Xenopus tropicalis: one gene and its partners. The protein of the gene in region 4 interacts with the protein of the main gene of each other region in a pairwise test. Links are inferred from orthologs where the notes say so. Each region holds a gene or a part of one and is shown on either strand. Other genes may lie near its edges. The genes, in order: dazap2, tom1l1, tom1l2, tollip and rbpms.

Region 1 (4,785 bases), on a different chromosome or scaffold from region 4:
TACAACAGGGGGTTCATTATTGTTTTATAATAAACAGGTTCTGTTAGTCATCAGCCATTCAGCCAGTTTGAAGAATATCTAAGACAACAAAGATTTACCTTAAATCTCTTTGTAACTGAATTTCAATGTGACCTTTCAAGAGACCAAGTAGGCCTTCCCCTCAGCTCTAACCTGCACTTGTCTTAAAGTAGAAAAAAACCCTAACCCATTTTCAGCCATCCTTCACTGCTCCCCCTCCAAGCTCAGAGGCACCATCTTCCCCTGACTTCTGACTCCTCCTGTTAGTCAAAACTGATTCAAAAGGGAAGATGCTCTTGCAATATTGTGCCTTTACATAGTATTGAAACTCTTCAGTGACTTATAATATCCCTTTACAATAAGGGGTATTTTTTCTCAATATAAATTAAGTAGGTGAAGGTGAAAAATAATAACCTTAAAAAAATTCACAATTTTTACAGCAGGTGCTGCTCCTAGACACCTTTGTTACGTAAAAATTTTTCAGCTGGGGGAGAGAAGTCCCAGCCAATAAGGCCAGTGCATTGGGGTTATTTGCAAAGGTGATGATAAGAAGGAAACACACAGAAATTACAGGAGAGTTGTGAGTTAGGTTCTAGCACTGCATGGGCTACAGTTCCTGTCAGGTCCAATAGTAGCATAGAGTAGTGAGGGTCAGTATCTGGGTGTTAAGGGGTCAATATAATAAAAGGTGCGAAATTTGCTTTAGGTTAGTGACCCACTGCAACCAATCAGCAGATAGAATTTACTGGTCAGCTATATAAAATCAAGAATCCGACTGGTTGCTATGGGTTAATTGACCCAGATGAACTTTGCATCCTTTATTACATTACCCAATGTATACCAATTCCATTATATACTGCATGCATGTAATATTAATATATTGACTCTAGTGACTAAGGCTGATGTTCCACTGAGCGGTTTAGTCACCTGCAATAGATCTCTGCTATCGCAGGCAACTAACTGTTCCAAAATGCATTTCCACTGGCAACAATAGGAGTTGCTTGTGAAAAGCCCTTCACATGGCTTTGGTATTCCAAAGTCATACAAAGTTTCCTCCAGCAGGCATCTTTGTGTGACTTATGAAAACTGAAGCAATGCAAGCAATGGCTTTCTACCGGCGTGGCTGGTGGATAGGCATTTCGTAGAGGGCAGTCACCCGCGATAACACAGATCTATTGTGGGCGACTAAACCACTCCGTGGGACATAAGCCTTTCCCTTTACCTGAAAAGAAACGTGTCAGCCAACCAATGACATAGCACCTACGTTTACAAGAAAAATGCATTCCCCAACAATGCAATTTTTTTACAAACAGCCCATAACCTGGACAACAGGGAAAGAGCTAAATTGATATCCTAGACCAGTGTTAATACAAAATGGTAAAAATCTGTTGATACAAAAGCAAGAAAATTTTACTCATTTCCAGTAAAGCAGCTACTATGTTACCTAATGGGCTAATTATAACCATAAGTTGTACCATTCCTTGGGTCTATGAAAAGCAAAATGCGTGTTTAGGCAAGCCAAAAGCTGCAGCCTGCAATAAAGCCGCGCAAAATGAAAGTGCAGGTAGGGGGCGCTGCTCAGCAGGAATGCGCTTTCGTATCTGCGTAGAGTGAAAAAACACAACAAGGAAGTAGATAGAAGCGGAAGTGGAATCATCTCCCACAACAACACAGAGAAAATACAGATCGAGCAAGAGACGTGAACCCGGGGCAATGAATAATAAAGGCAAGTAATGGCCCCTCCGGAGCTCAGCGGCAACTTCACTGTGCTTTGCGCTTGCTAGGGCTGTTTGTCCTGATCAGGATGCACCTTGGGATTGAGACTGCGACCTGGCGGAGCTGCTGCTGCTGCAAGGCGTTATGATGTCACTGATACCAGTGATTTGGGGCCCTGCTGGGACTTACTCTATAACCGAGTCCCTCTGCTTATTATTATTAGGAAGTATATGGTTTGGGTGGGTATATTCTAGGGGCGGGCTCTATTAGTCACTGAGCGAGTGAATATATATATATAAATATTAGGAATTCGGACGTATTATAGAATACGTTTATACCTTGGTAACCAGCTCCGGCTCCGTCCTGCTTGTGTGCGCACCGCTCTGACCGTGTAAGGCAGGGATTGTGTAACTCCTTGTGTATGTGCCTCGCTAAGGAACATCGGACGTGTCATTTGCCTTCCATTCCAGCGCTTTATAAAGGATTTAGTGGCAAATGGATCACTAAGTAGGCCAGTCGGCAACTATAGTACCATAGTTACATAGGGTTGAAAAAACACCAGAGTCCATCAAGTCCAACCCATCCAAGTAAATCCAGCACTTACAACCTATATTTACCAATCTATCATCAACCATGCCAGGCTTCAGGCTGATGGTATTTGTGCATGGCACTCTTGAATTAACAAGAACTCTGCTACTGAAGAGCAGTAATCCAGTAACAAAGTACATTTGTAGTAGAGTTTAGTACTGCACTGGAAACATTGTCTAATCAGACTTGGACTGGGATTTAAACCAGGCCCTGGCTTTTTAAATACACAGAGGCCCAAACAGCCCCCCTACACAACCCCCAATAAATAGTGCCTGTCTATATCAGTGATCCCCAGAGGCTCACATACAGCATGTTGCTCCCCATCCCCTTCCCTGTTGCTTCCAGTGGCATCAAAGCAGGTGCATATTTTTGGATTGAAGTCAAATTTGGATTGCATAAAAAAACAGAGCCTCCTGTAGGTTGCCAGTCCACATAGAGACTACCAAATAGCCATAGTGCTTGTGTTGCTCCCCTACTCTTTTTATATTTGAATGTGGCTCACTTTTAAAAAAGGCTGGGGACTCCTGGTCTATGGTATCTTACAGCAGCCCCTCTGGCATTTGCCAGAATCACAGATTGTCATTGTGGAACTGTGCCCAATTTAATGCTGCTGCACACCTGTGCATGGACAAATATCAGCCACTCCATATCGCTTCACTGCTTGGGGTGTTGAGCTTCCTTCTCCTTCAGAATAGCTTCATAAATATACATTTGATAAGGTGCAAAAACAATTTGCAGTTTTAACAAAGAGGAATTCCTCGCCCATTTTAGCAGCAAAAAGAGGAGATTGCATCAAATAAATTATTATATGGATGACTTTATGAAAGAATGTCATAATACTTGTTTAACTTTTTCATTGCAGAGGGGGTTGTTCTCTAATGATTCTCAAGGTCTTCCCAATGTTTCTGCCTATTCAGAGTGACATTCTTGAGAATCTCATACTTGAGACTTGAAGTTTTACAGTGCTTTTGATTTTATTGTTCTAGTCTAGAACCAAAAATGTTCTGCCTATTTTGAACTTGTTATGGGTAAAGAATAGTATTTTGTCTTTTTATCTTTGATTATTTCTGCTGAGCAAATTAGAGTGCTACTTTGTTCATAACTTTAGGTTAAAGAATAAGTAAACCTTTTTTTTCTATCAGTAAAATTACTCTAAACAGCCTCCAGAATTACCTACCTTTGTCCCAGCATTCTTTCTGACCTGGTTCCTCAGTTAGAAGTTGATAGTTTTTCTTTGCTTCCTTGTGCAGAGTAAAGCCCCGCCCCCACTTCCTGTTCAGTTCTCTCTTCAATTCGACTACCTGTAGTTGACCTGGAGAGCCTTCTGGGCATGCCTGGAGGCAGCAGTACGCATTCACGCTGCACTTCCGCATTCCCCGGTCATCGTCGATCACAGACGGAAAAGGTCTGGTCACCCATGAGCTAGCCATATTCTTAATGAGCTGCAAGTTGGAGTGATATCACCCCCCTCCCAGCAGCTGATCAGCAGAACAATGGGAAGGGAGCAAGATAGCAGCTCCCAGTTGGTATCAGAATAGCACTCAATAGTAAGAAATCCAAGTCCGGGTTGGGCCCCCTCCAGTTACATGGGAGTATGAGAAACAATAGGTTACCTGAAAGCAGTTCTAATGCGTAGCGCTGGCTCCTTCTGAAAGCTCAGACTGAGACACTATGCACTGAGATGGCGCCTACACACCAGAATTACAACTAAAAAAAATACATGTTGATCCAAGAATAAAATTTTAAATGGCAGAGTGAATTATTTGCTAAACAGTGTAATTTAGAAATAAAAAGTACACCACAAAATCTTTAAGCATGAAGTCTAGCATTCTTTAATGATGGCCTCTGAGTGACTGACCTGAAAAGTTCAAATAGTTACTCAGAGGCCAGAATATCATTGAAGGATTTTGGTAACCTTGGTAGGTAAGCAATACAACACAAACATATGCAGACTATAAAGACTATTGGATTCTCTGTGTTTCCTTTAGGCTGATTAAATATTGTTTTCCATCATCTCCCAAATCCCAAGTCAAATTGATTAGATGAGTCTGATTATAAGCCAAATTGAATTTTAATTGGTATATTAATATTTATCTCCAGTTTTCCCAAATTTTGCAGTTGTCAAAATTTCTGTTTGTGTGAAAACTAATTTTTTTCTGTTATGCAATCTTGTGATAATTATGATATTAATATAAATCTTTGAAACAAACCATGGAATTCAGACAAATATCTAAGCAACTTTACTTTCCTCACAACCCTAGATTAGCTGCATTTTTATGGGAACTGAAGATGATCTAAATTTTTAAAACCAGGGTCATATAGGTGGAGTTTGGCAGCTTTTGGGTTCAGCTGCCATATTGACTTCTTTAAAGCACATAGGCAGCTTATTGGCAGTAGTGTTAATGTATGTGTTACCTACAATTGTAAGCTCCATTGGGGAAGGAACCAATGGATGACATATAA
Region 2 (3,239 bases), on a different chromosome or scaffold from region 4:
AACATCCAAACAACTAGCAGAAAACAAATCAGGTATATGTGCTGTATGTCAGTGGGGAATGTAAAAATGCCATGCAAAATATATTCGAAAAATAGAATTACCTATTGTGTCCCAGAATGCAGTGCAAATCAAACATGTGCATTTCAAATTCTCCACTCTATATAAAAAGCAACAACTTGTTTATTCAAGAAATACATGCTTGCAATGTTTTATAATGGTAGATATTTTAATTAATAGCACAGGAGGTGTTGGGGTGACTTAATCTAGGCCCCCACCATCCTGTACTGTTAGCAAGTTTAATTTAGTTCTCAAAACTACCCTTCCCATCATACATTTTGACTGTTTGTTAAAAGGGACACCATCATGTTTTGCCTTGTGGTATCCCTGTCATTATAAAAAAAAGTGGCTGTACAGATGCCCAAACACTTACCCATCACTACCTTTAATAGTTGTGGTTACCCTAGTGCTACTGGTTACAGACTAAAAGTGTGCACCAACCCAACTTTAAGTTAAGGCAGCTGTAATTAAATGTGTTTCCCATCATGCACTAACACACAAATAAGCATTTAGGTTTGATTTACATCAGTAACCCATTGCTTTGCTGGTCCATCAGTGTCATAGGTGGATTTCAATAAGGCTGGGGGATGCCAAGCCTCCCCAAACCTGCTTGGCACTTCTTTTGGCTTCTGCAATCAGAGCATAGCTCTCCTGCAGACAGAAAAATTGACTAATCAAGGCATAGATGTAGGCAGGGCTGGGGAGATATTTCAAAAAGGATCTGCAGGCTGTAACTTTACCCAAGATCCTCACCAACGCCAGATAGGTTTTGAAAGTTTTTGAAGGTTTGAAAATCCCAATGGATGAGGAGTGCATCAGCGTGTTTATGTAGTCCAATACAATCGCATTGGCCAGATTTGGCCCAGCGAGTGGGTGACCTTACAAAATGAGCATATCTTCCTTGGGCCATTGAATAGATGCTTATCTAAATAGTCACACTAAAGCCAACTAACATTTACTAGAGAAGGTTGCCGTATATTTATGTGTGTGTGTATATATATATATTTTTTTTTGTTATTTAAAAAATGTTCTGTACTGCACATTTATTCTCGATTTATTCTTTCGACACATATCCCATAAGCAAACATCATCTTAATTGGCTTGTGTAATAATTCTCTTTTGTGGGGATTATAATAAATTGTGATGTCTGTTTTATTTTTCAGGTGCATCAGAGAACAATTCTTTGTTGCCAAACTACTATGAACTGTTAGAATTTGATCCATTGGCTGAAAGTAATAGAACCGAGTAAGTATACTTTAGTTCAGGTATAGGAAACAACTGTAAGAACAGAGCCATTAAACTCATTTACAACCTTTAGGCATTTTAGTGCCTTGTGTACAGTATGTATGTTTACAGCTTTATAGCCTGGGTTCAGCTCAATGAACCCAGACTTAGGATATAATAATTTCTGACTGTGGCAAGCTCTGATCCCTTTTTTTTTTTTAATTCCAGAGTCATATATGAAGAAATTGATACTTCATTGTGGAGGAAAACTGCAAATAGTGGCGCTGAGTGTTAGCATTTAATACCTGTAAGTTCTAGCTGACTTCGCTGTAGGCTGGAATGTAAAAACCTATTCACTGAAGTAGTTATTGTTTTAAAACAGTTGCATTTTGAGGACTTGAAATGTCCTCAGATGATTCAATTTGTATCAGTATTTTGCAAAAATAATAGTAAGTAATTTATCAGTTTGTAAGGCACCCCACCCCCGAGTGATGATAAACACTTAAGTCAGACCTTAGGTAAGCACTTTCCTTTTTCAGGGACCCTTGTGATTAGTTTGGGCTTTGCACATGTACAGTAGCGTAAAATCAGAACTTATATTGTGAAATAACCCTTGGCCGGAGACAGTGGCATAACTAGATGTTACTGGGCCTCACAGCAAATGTAGAACCCAAAACATTGGCAAGTTGACCCATTCTACCAAGATGTATTAAAATTGCTAATTTATTAGGGTCTTACTGGGCCTACTTGCTATTGCAGGGTCTGCTTTACCAGATTACCACCCTGGGCCAGTGTGCTTTTCAGCCAAGAGGAACACCAACCTGAGGCCTAAGCAAAGTAATTATAATCACTGAAAGGGGTTGCTCCCAGTGATTTGTTTCCATGCCAAAATCACCATATTCACTTGGGCTTGTGATGCATCCGCTAGTATATCAGTCTTCTTCACCATAGATGCAGCCAAATGTGCACCAGCAATCACTCTTCAGGATCCAGGAGGCTTCTTTTTCTTATTCATATATATCCTTTAGGGCTCTGGCACACGAGGAGATTTGTCGCCGGCGATTTTTAAAAGAGCGATTTGGCGACAAGACGCCAATGCTAAATCAAGGGAAATCGCCAGCGTCAAAAAATAAGAGGCTACTTCAAATCGCCTGCTGTTTCAAATCGCACACAGACCCTTTTCTGAGCGACTTGAGTAAACATGAGGGGGGGTTAACTGTTGAGTGTACCATGGGTAGCAGATCGCCTGGAGCTCAACTCGCATGAAATCTCTTTGTGGGTATTGTCGTGGCGACTTGTCGCCAAAGCGCCAGGGGGAAAAAACGCAGGCGACAAATCTCGTGTGCCAGAGCCCTTACATAAGTTCCAGGACCACATGTGTATAGAGAATGATTCACTATATTTTATCATTTCTTATTGTTGATATATTTTGGGAGGTTAATGTAGGAAAAAAGGTCTATAATATTGATAAGAAGTCTATAAACTGAGAAATATTTATTTTTCTTTGCAGAGCAAATCTCAACATATTTATGGAAGATGTTTTTAGCCAATGATAGGAGATGGGATGGAATACTCCCGAATATTTTTCTATGTGATGCTTTACTCTTTGGCCTAATAGTGGAGAAAACCTAAGCCATCCGATTAGACAGAGGTTTTTCATTAGGCTGCCAACCAACAAAATCTATTCATCTAGTCCTAAATCAGATTTAAATTCATTATGCCAAGAACGACATACTGAATGGCTTGACCCTGCTCTCAAATACAGCACTATTCTTTTTCTGTAGATCATCAATTGTTTACCTTTTTTTTTTCATTTTTCCAATATCACAAATGACATCTCATGCATCCACCTCAAACATTCTGACTTCAATAGTGAGCATTCAGTGTCCTTGCACAAAGAAATCTAAGGGGGAAAAGGATTGCCAAACACCCTTTGTATTCCATTGAATTAAAACAGT
Region 3 (4,197 bases), on a different chromosome or scaffold from region 4:
TTGGGGGGCATCCCCAGTAATTATGCCTTTGCTTTAATAAGATGTCTGCCTTGGAGCAGATTGGCCACGGGCACACAAGCATATAAAGCTGCTCCATACCTGCTCGGAGTTTGCGCTGATGGGGCCGCCCATGTTTGCTGGAGGGCCTCCTGGGGCTGTGTAGGGGGGAGTGGGGCTGGATTTGGAATTGGAGAAGTTGCTGAAGCTGCCCCTCTGCTGAGTCTGAGAGGTATGCATGTTGGTCGCAGGATCCACCTCAGGAACGCTCTGTAACAGCAAAAATACACACATAACTGTAAATGTACCTTCCTAGGCCAGGCTAGCAGATCAGTACAGGTATGGGATTATTTTACTTCAGTTTGGAATTTCAGTAGTTATCTGGTTGCTAGAGGCCAATTTACCTTAGTAACCAGGGAGTGGTTTGAGATAGTGACTGATATATGAATAGCAGAGGGGCCGAAGAGAAAGATAAGTAATAAAAAGTAACAACAACAATAACATTGTAGCCTCACAGAGCAATAGATTTTCGCTTCCGGGGTCAGTGACCCCCATTTGAAAGCTGGAAAGAGGCAGAAGAAGAAGGCAAATAAAAGTTAACATAAAGGTGAACCCCCCCTTAAGTACTTTATGTGGAAACTTCCAAGAATTTGAGCTGTTACCTTAATAGGCAGACGAGGGCCCCTTCATGCTTTTAATAATGCAGCGGCACAAAACGGGCGGCAGAAAGCCTGCTGTCATTTCCAGAGAGCGGAGGCATGAATATTTAATGTTAATGCCGAAATCTAATCTGCCTTTAGGGGATGGCAGAACTCTACACTGTCGCTGAGCAATGTGACTTGTACTACAGTGTGCAACTCACAATACAACGAGTGATGGGTGCTGGTTCCTCAGTGTTATGGAGTCGCTGCGCCACAGCAATAGGCGAAAGGCCAAATCTCTGCTTGGGTTGGAATATGTAACAATCGGAGGCATTTTGGTGTTTCTCACAGAATACAGACAATAGAGCTATTACTGTGCTGTGTGTGCCCAGACCTGACCTGTCACATATGTACAAGTCCAATGTGGCCTGTTGGCACCTTATAGTGGGTGGGTGCTTAAACCGTGTCCCTCCAGGGCCCAGCACATTAATATTAAAAAGTGGGGGACAAGTGGGCAACCCTTTGCAGTAAGGTTTCTCAATGAAAAAGCCTCTTATATAGAATAAAGGGGAATTAAGGCTTCTGAACCAAAATTTGCCCCATAGAGAAACCCCTAATATACCCATCACTGCAATCTGTTCCTTCAAAAAGTATGAATAAATACCATTTTATATGCTGAAATCCAGCTGCAAAATAGTTCTTCTCTTCCTGCATCATTTGAAATCCTGGCAGGGGAGGAGGGACTAAAACACTGATGTTACAAATTGTAACAACTTCGCCACAGCTTACAGACAGCATGCAGGAACTACAAAACCCACAATGCATTGCACTGTGATGTTCCTTTCCTTATTGACATCACGTGTGCAGAGAATCGTGGGATTTGGAGGCTGCAGGCTGCAGGCTGAGGACAGGCGACTACTGTTACATTTTATCTGAGTCTCAAAGTAGCCAACCAGATCAGCAGGGGAACAGGGGGCGGGGCTTAGGGAACTGTTACAAACCATATTACTTTGAAAATGATGAAAAGGCTGCATATTTTTTAATTAATGTATACAGCACAGTTGCTTGAAATTATGTTTTCTTTTCAAAAAGCTTAAATTGTGTTTGCGTGGAGTTTAAATCATCATTTTCCTCAAATTGAAAAAAAAAAAATATTGTGCCCTGCATAGGTGGCAGGTTAGCAGCCAGCTTTTCATCAACTTACCCTCTGGGGGGTGTGTATGGGAGACAAAGCATCTAGATCTGCCATTGGGAACTCTATTCCTTTTCTCTTCAGCTCCTCATAAATATGTACAACTCCAGTAAGGTCAGGGCTGCTGCGAAATGCGTCCGCCCAAGCCTGCAACACAACAGCGGGAACACAGCAACTTGTGAAGCGTCACAACCAAAAGGGGCCCAACACCTAAATTGCCTGTTGTTACAATGTGAAACATCAATGTTTTAGTCCCTCCTCCCCTGCCATAGCACCCATTTCTATCATGCATACATATATACAGAGATATTTTCAGGAGACCAAGCTTATAATGAATGAAGACAAATGCAGCAATAAACCTGAAGGACAAACAAGAAAAGAAAATGGTCTCTAATTATAGAGATGGTAATATTGATTAATGGCTGCATTCCATCAACCCAAGTGTCCTTTCTTCCAAATGTCACTTACCTTCTGCACGGTGCCAGTGAGGCAGATCTATTCTGTATGGGGTTTCAGAGAAACAGAAATCCTTTGGGCGAGACGCGGCTCTCCCCTTCTGTACGTTAGTGGTGCCTGACCCAGTAGAACACACCCCCCTGATATCTGATCTGACCTCATCTGATACCATCGGGGGTTGCCACTTGCAGGTAACATATGACAGAGGGGACACGGGAAGGGGTGACACCTTTGCCTTGAACGGTGTCAGTGACAAACAGGAACCCCAGTGCGTTTATATTTACATACATGTGTGTGTATTCAACACGCCACTTGAGAAGGTTATGTTTGATTTAGGCTTGAATCAGTTGGAAAAATGAAAAAGAATAATTGGGCATAAAGGGGTTGTTCACCTCCAAGTTAACTTCTTTTTTTTTTTATTATTTGTAGTTTTTTAGTTATTTCATTTTCAGTTCAGCAGCTCTCTAGTCTGGAGTTTCAGCAGTTATTTGGTTGCTAGGGTCTGAGTTAGCTTAACAACCAGGCAGTGGTTTGGATGAGAGACTGATATATGAATAGAAAAAAGTTATAAAAAGAAACAATAAAACTGGAGCCTCACAGAGCAATAGTTTTTTGGCTGCAGGGTCAGTGACCCCCATTTGAAAGCTGCAAAGAGTTGGAAAAAGAAGGCAAATCATTCAAAAACTATAAAATAATGAAGACCAATAGAAAAGTTGCTTAGAATAGGTAATTCTAGAACATACTAAAAGTTTGCTTAAAGGTGAACCGCCCCTTTATAGACTGGTGACTAATTGCAACCCTTTTAATAGTCAAAGCAAAGGGAGTAACTAGGATGGGGAATGGGGAAAATAACTCCAATAAATAAAAATTTGGTCTCAATGTAACAGCTCTAAGTGAGCAAAAGAGACCCATACTATGGTCACAGCTACGCACCAACAAGTTCTTCAGTAAGAAGCTGAGAGTTATAGTCGCACATAGTGTGGAAAACGTGGCCTCTAGAAAGCCTCCATCTAACTGCAGGCATGAAAAGGGGGGACAGGAGGGAACTCCGAGTGTGTACATCAATTGTACCCCAATGTGCTTATTGCCCACCCTTGCCTTATCTGACAACATCTTGGACCAAAAAGTAGTACTAAATACACTGGAAGGGTGGCCAAACAAAAAATATGTCTGAATCTCTGCAGAATATGTTCTCTGACCCTACTGGCTACTAGGTCCCTTTATGGGTGTTGTTTGGCGGCCCCAAAATGGACTCAGCTTACTGGCACTGGCCAATCGGAAGCAAGAGAGGAACACAGAGTGCCTTGCATGGGTTATTTTTACACACAGACAGAGCTTAGCAGATAGAACCATTCCACACTGGTCCAAAATGTTATTATCATGGCTTAGACCGTTAAGCAAACGCCCGGAGCCCATGGGTACAGCCCGCACTGTGCTGGCTCTTGCACCGCAGATACACCTTTGTTTCCATGTTCAGAACCAAACATTAAAACCTGCAGAAGGGACAGAACTGGGTGACTCAGCCCATTCTGAAAGGCTCCTATATAATTATTATGTCCTAATCTCCCAGACTGCAGTTCGGGCTTTGGCCCCAACCAGCGATAAAGTAAAAAAGCTGAATTTGCGGTCTAAACTTGCTGCCAAGGTATCAATTAGCGGAAATTGTTAATGAGGGAAGTCCAGCACATTTACTGTGTCTGCAACACTGCTGCCTGGCAAACAAAACAGGATTAAATTGCTTTCAGTAGAATATAAGTAATAAATAATGATCCCTTGGCATAATGCATGGGTGGGCAACTGTCAGCCCTCCATTAAAGGGATAGGGACACTTTTCAGAAATGAGTCACTATCTCTTTAATAAACCCTCTGCTGCCTCCCAGCCAACCTTTTTACCCCCCCTGCCCAACTCAG
Region 4 (4,889 bases):
CCATTTAATTCAGTGTTGAAAAGTGTCAAATTTGGCGTGCTGTAATCGGGGATGCTAGAAATCTCTACAAACAATCATGCTGACATTTAAATATGTCAATAAAACAAGACAGGAGGACATTCTAACTTGTATGTATTACTAACTTTTTTTTCTTATATGAAAATAACAACAGTTTCACAAAAAAAGAAAACAGTCACTAAAAAGACTACAGAACATTTCAATTTTACTTCATCAAACTTACCTGTGGCGATGATTTTCGCCGGTAGTTATGGATTGCAACATAGTGTGCCCGGATAGTGGGGCCCAGGTCATGAGAAATCACAGGGTCCCTCACAACAAAATTTTCTTGGCATCCTCCTGCTTCCTCCGGCTCCGCCCCCCCTCACGTCCTCCTGCTTTCTCTGGCTCCCCCCCCAGCATCCCCTTGCCTCTTCCAGCTCCCCCCTCAGCATCCTCCTGCTATCCCCCAGCATCCTTCTGCTTCCTCCGGCTCCCCCCCCCCCCAGTGTTCTCCTGCTACCTCCAGCTGACTGTCTCTCTCCTCCGGCTCCCCGCAGCGTCCTCACTCTTATGACGTTACATGTACACACGGGGCGCGACCAATCGGATTACTCGTTGACCACCAATGACAGGGCCTGTACTTGGGGGGCCCCAGCTAAAAAAAACTGTATCAAGGCTGGGCCCCCCTTAAAAGTGAGAATCGTCCGGGCCCTGGATGACTGTCCCCCCTGATGGCAGCCCTGTGGGGCCCAACAGGACTAGAGCCTACCGGGTTTTCTCCTGGTGTCCCAGCAGGCCAGTCCAATGCCGCGCTGTTTCATGCATCTACACATTATTTTCTGCACCTACATATACTAAAGGGCAGATTTATTAACATTCTGATTTTCATGGTTTTACAGTATTTTGAAACTCATGTCTAAACTCGTTTTCACAAAAGTCACAATAAAAAGGCTTTAATAAAAGATCCAAATTGAAAAAGCACAAACAAATAAAAAAGACACGGGAAAATGCAAAAAACGGCAGCTTTTTCATAAGTGAGGAAATACCTTCCAGTTGTAAAAAGGGACACCTGCCATTGACTTCTGCTCTCAGCAGCTTTTAGATGGCGCATTTTTTCTTTCGGATTTCCTGCGGTTCTGTAAATCAACTTTCCTGTAAATAAATCGTATTTTGGCACATATGTTCCAACTGTGAAAAAATAAATCGAACGTTAGCAAATGCCCCCTTTATACGCCCTTACACACCCTTTGACACACCCACACAATACAAATATTTACACACCCATTTACACACTTACACATTCTTACTCTGTTTTACACACAATTGTACAGAATTGTACTCATTCACACAAAGATAGCAAGGCTGGTATTTTTTCCTCACAGTTTTGCATTTAGTAGAGAGCAACTGTATGACATGAATAACATATAAAATAAAAATGTATTTGAAAAAGTTATTTAATTTCCCACTTAAAAGTTGGATTTATGGCCTGTGACAGAATTAACCAATACTGATATAAAATCACACACGACACCCATAGGGAACAGTTTCCTGACATATATGTACTTAATAATTTTTCTATCATTTCAGTTTCTATATTTTATCCTCAAAAACAAGAGCCAACCTGTGTCCTGAGGCACTTTAGGCATTCTGCGCATGCGTGCGTCCGGCAGGTCAGGTGACCGAGTTGCTAGCGGAGCCGCCGCTAAAACCGCAAGCGTCTGATGCCTTACTGCGCATGCGTGTGCGCTGCAAGTCAGGTGACAGATTTGTTAGAGGGTGTAGCAGCTAAAACAGGAAGTGTCTTGGAGAAGACGAGACCGGAGAGATAAGAGCTGTTCAGAAGCCATGGCAACGAGTATCAGCACCCAGAGAGGCCAGGTGAGATAGAGTGGAGAGAGGTTTTGGGGTGAAACGGGGTGTTTAGGTGGTAGGTTCAATACATGAGGGGTGATAAAAATGTCGGGGTATGGAGGTGAGACCCAGCCCCAACATAAGGAATGCGCTGCATTCCTGGCTAGTTTGTAAATAAGGTGACATTGAGATCTTTGATATTTGGAATGTATTACCTCGTTGACGGCATGTTTTCCTTTTAAACGCCACAGAAAACCCCTACATGCTGTGTAGCCAATCAGCTATTAAACTGCGTTCTGCGTGGCTGTACATAAATCAGTGCAGCCTGCAGCAGCTCATTTTTCACCTAGTTATGTAGGATATGAAATTAAAGAAGCACTATCCGTCTTACTCAACAACAAAGGGTTACTAATAAATTGGCTTGAGCTCAACTAGTTTTTTGTTTTTTTTTGCCTATTTGAATCGCGACAGATCTATGGGTTTTGTTAATTTTTTTTGAGCTGGAACAGGGGCAAGCTGAGAAACTGAGGCTACCCCATGTCTTGCAAGGTGAGTAATTAGATTGCAGCCTGACAGATATTCCCATTCATAATGGGCTTCTGCTTTTTTTCTAATTCAAAACAGTAACAATAAAGGGTGGAGCTTGTTTGTACAGAGGGCATTATCTCTTGTTAAGGTGGCCATACATGGGCCAACCAGTATTTGACCCACAAGCCTAGAGACTTAAAGGGCAGGTTTGGTATGAAGGGCCCTAAGTTTTGTGGTTGCTGAAGTCTTTAGCAGTCCTATGGCTTTACATTCTAGGTCTCCTTGTACGTGCCCTAAATTGCTTGGGCAATATGGACATATTTAGCCAAACTCTCGGCCGCCTATCCCTATCCCTTAAAGCGGCTAGAGTTGTTCGAGTGTTAAAGCCCTGATGCACTGATGTCTCCCGTTGGAATGTGGCTAGGTCATGTGCTTCAGCCGCCTAAGCATTCCACTCCCAGCGACCAAGATAGGATATGGGCCGTAAACATCTTAGTTTGTTCCTCACATGTACAATATGTATTTATCTGTTTTTACATCAATTCTTTAGCTTCAAAGCATCTGTGATGCTTTGATGTCCTCTCTTTACTTTTGTCCTGTAAAGACAGCTTTGCAATATATATTATAGGTATGGGACCTGTTATCCAGAATGCTCGGGACATGGGGTTTTCCAGATAAGGGGTCTTTCTGTAATTTTAGATCTACTCACCTTAAGTCTACTAAAAATCATATAAATGTTAAATAAACCCAATAGGATTGTTTTGTCTTTAATAAGCATTAATTATATCTTTGTTGGAATTAAGTACAAGTTACTGTTTAATTACTATAGAGAAAAAGGAAATAATTTTTAAAAATTAGAATTATTTCTTTTAAATGGAGTCTATGGAATTTTTAATGGAGCCTTTACGTAATTTGGAACTTTCTGAATAATGGGTTTCCGGATAAGGGGTCCTATACCTGTACTTTAAATGGTTTTCAGTGGTTTTCGAAGTTATATGTAAATGTAATTGCTAGTGAAGGCAGTAAATGCCTGGCTGTTTATAGTCTCAGCACTACTGTTTCGGAATCCTGAAACAATGTTGCAATAGCTAGCCTCAAAACAGCTATGGGTTTTGTGTCATGTGAGTGTTGTAATGATGCTTTCTGTTCCATCCTTTGAATGGAAATTCTACTGAAAATATTATACCCTTTCATACTAATAACAAATATTATCTACTATTTTAACCCGAGTCAGGGTAACCCAAATGTTTTTCTTCCTTCTCACAAATATCACCTTTTACTTGTTGGTAAGACTCTTTTTTTTTTTTGGCAGGACTTTTTTGGTGGGTTTTTGTATGTGAGCCTGTACCAACGGGCTAAGTCCTTTTGCACGAGTTTGCAGCAGTGCCACTTTTCTTTGGTGAATATATATAGATATGTCTATAGGACCCATTATCCAGAATGCTTGGGACAAAGGGTATTCCGGATAAGGGGTCTTTCCTTAATTTGGATCTATATACCTTAAGTCTACTAAAAAATAATAAACCATTAATTAAACCCAATAGGATTGTTTTGCCCCCAATAAGGGGTAATTATATCTTAGTTGGGATCAAGTACAGGTACTGTTTTATTATTACAGAGAAAAGGGAATAATTTGACCATTAAATAAACCTAATAGGGCTGTTCTGCCCACAATAAGGGGTAATTATATCTTAGCTGGGATCAAGTACAGGTACTGTTTTATTATTATAGAGAAAAGGGAATAATTTAACCATTAAATAAACCCAATAGGGCTGTTCTGCCCACAATAAGGGGTAATTATATCTTAGTTGTGATCAAGTACAGGTACTGTTTTATTATTACAGAGAAAAGGGAATCATTTAACCATTAAATAAACCCAACAGGACTGTTCTGCCCCAATAAGGGGTAATTATATCTTAGTTGGGATCAAGTACTGGTACTGTTTAATTATTACAGAGAAAAGGGAATCATTTAACCATTAAATAAACCCAATAGGGGTAATTATATCTTAGTTCGGATCAAGTACAGGTACTGTTTTATTATTACAGAGAAAAGGGAATCATTTAACCATTAAATAAACCCAATAGGGCTGTTCTGCCCCCAATAAGGATTATTTATATCTAAGTTGGGATCAGTTACATGATACTATTTTATTACTACAGAGAAAAAGGAAATCAGTTTAAAAATTCTGAATTATTTTATTAAAATGGAGTCTATAGGAGACAGGCTTTCCATAATTCGGAGCTTTCTGGATAATGGGTTTCCAGATAAGGGATCCCATATCTGTATATAAGTGGGAGTGTGAGTGAATACCCTAGGATTTTTTCAGCATAATCTTCCTGCTATGTTCCTACCCTTTGCACCGTTTTTGTAGAAAGGGAAGGAATATATAATATAATTTGTACATATTAAGTTGGAACTATGGCTTATAACAGTAATGGTGTCCATAAACTATTTATGAGCTAAGGGGGGCCCTCAACAATGGTTCAACCTTCAAGGTGGGCCTTGAA
Region 5 (4,944 bases), on a different chromosome or scaffold from region 4:
CAAGTAAAGTGTGCGCATATATATATTTATATATACAGGGACCAGTTATCTGGAAACCCGTTATCCAGAAAGATCCATCTCCCAGACTACATTATAACCAAATAGTTGAAATTTTTAAAAATGATAAGATATAACTAATCCATATTGAAAACACAAAACTATTGGGTTTATTTCATGTTTAAACAATTTTTAAGTAGACAATGCATGGTGATTCAAATAATTAAAAGACCCCTTATCCAGAAAACTCCAGGTCTGAATACCTGTATATTTAAAAAAGGTACATATATTTTATATCTATATTTATAAATATATCTATCTATCTTGGCGTTATATTACTAAAGCATATAAAAATATATATCAAGAATATGTTCACTGCATAGATATATATTCTCACACACATACTCCATATACATACACAAGTTCATCATACGTTAAGGCTATCAAAAACACTTAAACAAACCCAATAGAATTGCTTTGCAACCATTATGGATCTATGCAGCTTAGTTACCATCAAGTAAAAGGTAATATTTTATTATTACAGAAAAAATAATTTTAAAGTATTGGAATTATTTGCTTAAAATGGGCAGTAGGAGAGACGGCCTTCCTGTAATTTGGAACTTTCTGGATATCAGGTTTACAAATTAGAGATCCTGTATATATATATATATATATATATATATATATATATATATATATATAAAACACAAAATAGCCGGTACCGCACTCACAGGTCTTATAGAAAGATATTTATTCAAAAAATCGTGTCTAATGTTTCGGCTGCCATTGCAGCCTTTCTTTTTTGAGAAAGGCTGCAATGGCAGCCGAAACGTTAGACACGATTTTTTGAATAAATATCTTTATATAAGACCTGTGAGTGCGGTACCGGCTATTTTGTGTTTTACTATTTCGTATTGGACTGCACCCAGGCATCCTTGACTCTGTATTGTGAGTGCCTGTTACCAAATTTTGTGATTTTATATATATATATATATATATATATATATTTTGTTTGCATCAAAAACTCTCCACATTATTTTACAAACAACTGAAACATTTATTAATCATTTGCCTTGTTCTACCATGCCACTAACAGTATACCTGAATTCAACTATTCCAAGGACAAAACAATGCTGTTAAGGGAGCCAGTGTCCTTTGCATGTTCCACTTACTGTTCAGAGGAAAATGCAGCTGCTCCTAGAATCCTTTTTTAAAACAGCTGATCTTCATACTAGCATGCAATTTTGTTAAACCTGAAAATTTGACACAAGAAGTGAATATAAAAATACCAATATTGACGAATTTGCAAGAAAATGTGTGATGTGTATGTAAACTATAGGCAACTGTCCTGGGCCTGGACTTGAGAAACACAGAGGAGAACCGCACACTGAATGGTGCATGGTCAAAAAGTACTGGTACTAAAAAGCAAAATTCCCACACTCAAGATGTTTGAATCTTCTACTGAATTGTAAGTTAAATGCCCTGTGGGTTTGTGAATCCCCTACTAGCCTGATTTCCCTTCTTTTTGCATATTCCTGGCACCTGTAACCTAGATACCTGGGTAGAATAGTTTTTCCCTATTGGTTCACGGATGTTATAATTGTTTCCTGTAATGTTTAATATAGTAAGCGGGATCACATGGCTCTTGCCTTTTGGCCTCCACCTGCTGGAATGTCTGCTGGGCTGTCTTGGACAATAAGGCCCTAGTAAAGAAGAGGGACCACATAGGCACATGGGGAAGTATGAAATGTGTTTGTTTCTGTGCACCCCTGCGGTGAAACGCAGAAACAAACGCTAGTAATTACAAGCCCTAAAGGGCATCTCATAGTTGAAATGCAGGAGCTAGTTCACACTTGAGAACTGGTATCCATTATCCTTATTTGTTTGCAGCATGAGAGGTATTGTTTAACAACACTATTTCCTTCCTCTACACAGTAATGCAAGGACCCAACTGTGAGAGAGGGTTATGGCTTTTTAATTTTAATATTACTATTTTGACAAAACAAGGACCATTTTGTACCACCTAAAAAATACACAGCAATGAGAACTGCAACTCATATATTACAACTTCCCGTGTTTTAAGGAAAATCCCAGAAACTCAAGACACCTAGGATTTATTGAACAATTTATGAACACATTTGTTTAAACAACAGATTTACTGTATGCTGCACTCACAAAACAACAGTTGTGCAGATCATGCTTCCAATCAAAAGCTGATGTGATTGACTGTTTAGAACTAAGCAATTGTTCTGATCTACAAACCAGAATAATTAAGTTTGTCGTTTTCTCCCATTAAAAAAATACCAATCTCACATTCACACTATAGAAAGTGGTCCTCCACTGCATGAGCTTGATCACATCAGAATGTCAGCATGAAAGTTAAGGCATGCAATTACATACAATTTTGATGAATGTGAACTCTTTCCATACAAATGAAATCTGACAAGTCACAGGGTAATCATATGCTCATCACTCCTAAAGGATGAATGAGGATGCGACTGACTGACTCCTGAGGTCGGACCTAAATTGCCACACATAGAATCTGTCAAATCCCCAGAAACAAATCTTACTGTGGGACTACAGCCAGGGTTGCTCACTTACTAAAACAACAAGCCCACAAAATGGTACCGCACTACATATATACACACAAACAGTGACTGATAACAAGGTATACATGTGTGTGTATGTAATAATATACAAAATTTAAGCTGCTTTTACTTAGCATTTGTAAACACACAAACATGTATACTGAACTACATTTCTGTTGATCAATATTACAGCTTTTTAAGAAACATTTAAAAAAGCATTTTTATACAACAAACTATAGGAGTTGGAATGATCAGCAGGCATCACAAGTGGATAACACCATGTGCAGACTAGGGATAATGAGTAAAATATTTCGGTTGTATTAGAGCCACCTACCTCTTCTTCTGGAAGGCTGATCTCATCCTGAGAGCCCTCCTTTTCAGCTATGTTGCTGTTCATTGTGGTCTCCTGGGCAGAGGCTTCTGTGAATGTCAGTTTCTACAGTGCAGACTTTTCGCTTTCCTTATACTGGGAAGTGCTGGAGAAAGACTGGAACTTAGTTTCAAGCAGTCAGGTTACTGGTTAGTTTAATGAAAAGCATATCATTTAGATCCAAATATTATAATAAAGCTCTTGTTCTTTCAGAGTTTTGTCTTAAAAGTAAGATGAGGAAGTCTGTGGTTTGTACGAGTGATAAGGAAAGCAAGCGAGGGGGTGAGAGAGGAAAGGGGGATTGCGAGTGACTGTTGGTGATTAGGGTTAGGAGCAGCCTTTGCTTTCTGAAGGGGAAGGGCTTAAAGCAACTTCAGAGCCGGGACTACAAAACTCCCAGTTTGTGGGTGGGGAGCTGCTCTGTTTAGAGAGCAGGGAGGGCTGGTGAGAGAAAAAATCAGTATCGGGTCCAATTTCTTAGTTAAAAAATCAGCCGTGCTTGAAAGCGTCTTCAGAAATTGACGATTTCCAGACAAGGTCAAAGGGTGAAATGCCGAGAGATAGAAAATAGGCAGCGGCAGCAGGGTGAGAGAAAGAGAGAGTGGAGGGGGCGGAAAGAGTGATAAGCACTGTGTTTGGTGCTAGTGGTGAGTAGGATCTATTACAGTGCAAGTATACCTGAATGTTCTGGGTGCCGCCTTACCCTCCTTATATTATTTCAATTTGTAGCGATAGATCTTAACACTTTCCTGTAAGGTTAATTTAGGCAGAGGTTTACACCAAGGTGCGAAGTACACAATGTAGGAACCAGCAAAGATAATGCGCTCTTATGCATTTATTCTTGTTGTTGTTAGGATTCCACAAAAGAGGGAGCTTAGAGCCATGGCAATGAGACCTGGAGATTTGAGCTAAATCTGCTTTATCACAGTTTACTAATCTCTTAAAAATGCTTTCCCACCAGCAGTAATGTAAATCGTAGGTGACTAAACTCCACATGTGCCTCAGCCTTAGGGGTGACTGCACACATAGGAATTAGTCACCCTTGATATATCTGCTCTACCACAGGTGTCTAATCTTCTGGATATTCTTTGTGAGAAAATTACGTTCAACTTTAGAAGAACAAAGCAAAGCGTATGTTTTCCCAGTGGTGATTTACATTATTGCTGGTGGGAAAGCATTTTTTGGAGACTAATTTCCACATGTGCCATCACCATAAGGGCAATAGCCCACAGGAGGATTAGTTGGCCACGGTTAAATCTTGGCTACCGCGGCCAACTAATCTCCCTAAAATTTTGGGAACTAATCCCAGAAATGTGAATTCCCTGCAGGAGGAAACAGCACAACTTCACAAAACAAAGCAATGCATATGTCTTCCCATCGGCAATTTACTTTATTGCTGGTGGCAATCTAACAATAGGTGACTAATCTCCCTATGGGCCTTAGGATACTGGGAGACAAGGAGATTTATCACCTGCGGCAAATCTAGGCTACCTCAGGAAGCAGATCTCCTAGAAATACTTGTACCTTCATTAACATTCTGAGCGCGGGAAAATATCTTTTGAAATTTTCTGCAATTAAGCCAGATCATTGGATGTAATGTATTTTACATGCAGCAATCTGAATGTGAGCAAAGGGGTATTTTCTGGAGATTTGCCTTCACTTTAAGGCCCAGGTGAGGAGCACATATTTCCCTCAGACTCGCTTATATTCAAATCGCAGCATGTAAAATATTCTATTTTCAGATTTGGTGTCTGTGGGTAACAAAGGTTTCCTGCTGGCAACAAAACTGTTATTGCCTTTCTTTGACCAGGCAGACAGATAATGCCATTGGGCAAGATGTCTTTTGAATATCATCTGTATGCTGATGATACCCAAATTTACTATTGACCCCTTCGTTAACAGTTGAAACTGAGACTCAAATCTCTAACTGCCTCCTGGCTATCTCCAATTGGATGAACCAACGCCACCTCAAAATGAACCTAACAAAAA

The links.
Region 1: the proteins of tollip (region 4) and dazap2 interact in binary tests that used the Homo sapiens proteins (3 or more experiments, as listed by UniProt). The two-hybrid records come from large-scale screens. The link is inferred for Xenopus tropicalis from reciprocal best matches to the Homo sapiens genes TOLLIP and DAZAP2.
Region 2: the proteins of tollip (region 4) and tom1l1 interact in binary tests that used the Homo sapiens proteins (3 or more experiments, as listed by UniProt). The link is inferred for Xenopus tropicalis from reciprocal best matches to the Homo sapiens genes TOLLIP and TOM1L1.
Region 3: the proteins of tollip (region 4) and tom1l2 interact in binary tests that used the Homo sapiens proteins (3 or more experiments, as listed by UniProt). The link is inferred for Xenopus tropicalis from reciprocal best matches to the Homo sapiens genes TOLLIP and TOM1L2.
Region 5: the proteins of tollip (region 4) and rbpms interact in binary tests that used the Homo sapiens proteins (3 or more experiments, as listed by UniProt). The two-hybrid records come from large-scale screens. The link is inferred for Xenopus tropicalis from reciprocal best matches to the Homo sapiens genes TOLLIP and RBPMS.

The regions. Positions count from the first base shown.
Region 1 is NC_030678.2:142,300,351-142,305,135, forward strand, and holds the start of dazap2 (DAZ-associated protein 2), read left to right. Parts: upstream 1-1,694; 5' UTR 1,695-1,731; coding exon 1,732-1,744; intron 1,745-4,785. UniProt on the Homo sapiens protein: In unstressed cells, promotes SIAH1-mediated polyubiquitination and degradation of the serine/threonine-protein kinase HIPK2, probably by acting as a loading factor that potentiates complex formation between HIPK2 and ubiquitin ligase SIAH1.
Region 2 is NC_030686.2:24,827,299-24,830,537, forward strand, and holds the end of tom1l1 (TOM1-like protein 1), read left to right. Parts: coding exon 1-32; intron 33-1,220; coding exon 1,221-1,302; intron 1,303-1,509; coding exon 1,510-1,576; 3' UTR 1,577-1,588; intron 1,589-2,040; 3' UTR 2,041-2,365; downstream 2,366-3,239. UniProt on the Homo sapiens protein: Probable adapter protein involved in signaling pathways. Interacts with the SH2 and SH3 domains of various signaling proteins when it is phosphorylated. May promote FYN activation, possibly by disrupting intramolecular SH3-dependent interactions.
Region 3 is NC_030685.2:15,323,383-15,327,579, reverse strand, and holds part of tom1l2 (TOM1-like protein 2), read right to left. Parts: intron 1,978-4,197; coding exon 1,843-1,977; intron 268-1,842; coding exon 100-267; intron 1-99. UniProt on the Homo sapiens protein: Acts as a MYO6/Myosin VI adapter protein that targets myosin VI to endocytic structures. May also play a role in recruiting clathrin to endosomes. May regulate growth factor-induced mitogenic signaling.
Region 4 is NC_030680.2:21,551,127-21,556,015, reverse strand, and holds the start of tollip (toll-interacting protein), read left to right. Parts: upstream 1-1,764; 5' UTR 1,765-1,845; coding exon 1,846-1,878; intron 1,879-4,889. UniProt on the Homo sapiens protein: Component of the signaling pathway of IL-1 and Toll-like receptors. Inhibits cell activation by microbial products. Recruits IRAK1 to the IL-1 receptor complex. Inhibits IRAK1 phosphorylation and kinase activity.
Region 5 is NC_030677.2:83,960,710-83,965,653, forward strand, and holds the start of rbpms (RNA-binding protein with multiple splicing), read right to left. Parts: upstream 3,274-4,944; 5' UTR 2,983-3,273; coding exon 2,920-2,982; intron 1-2,919.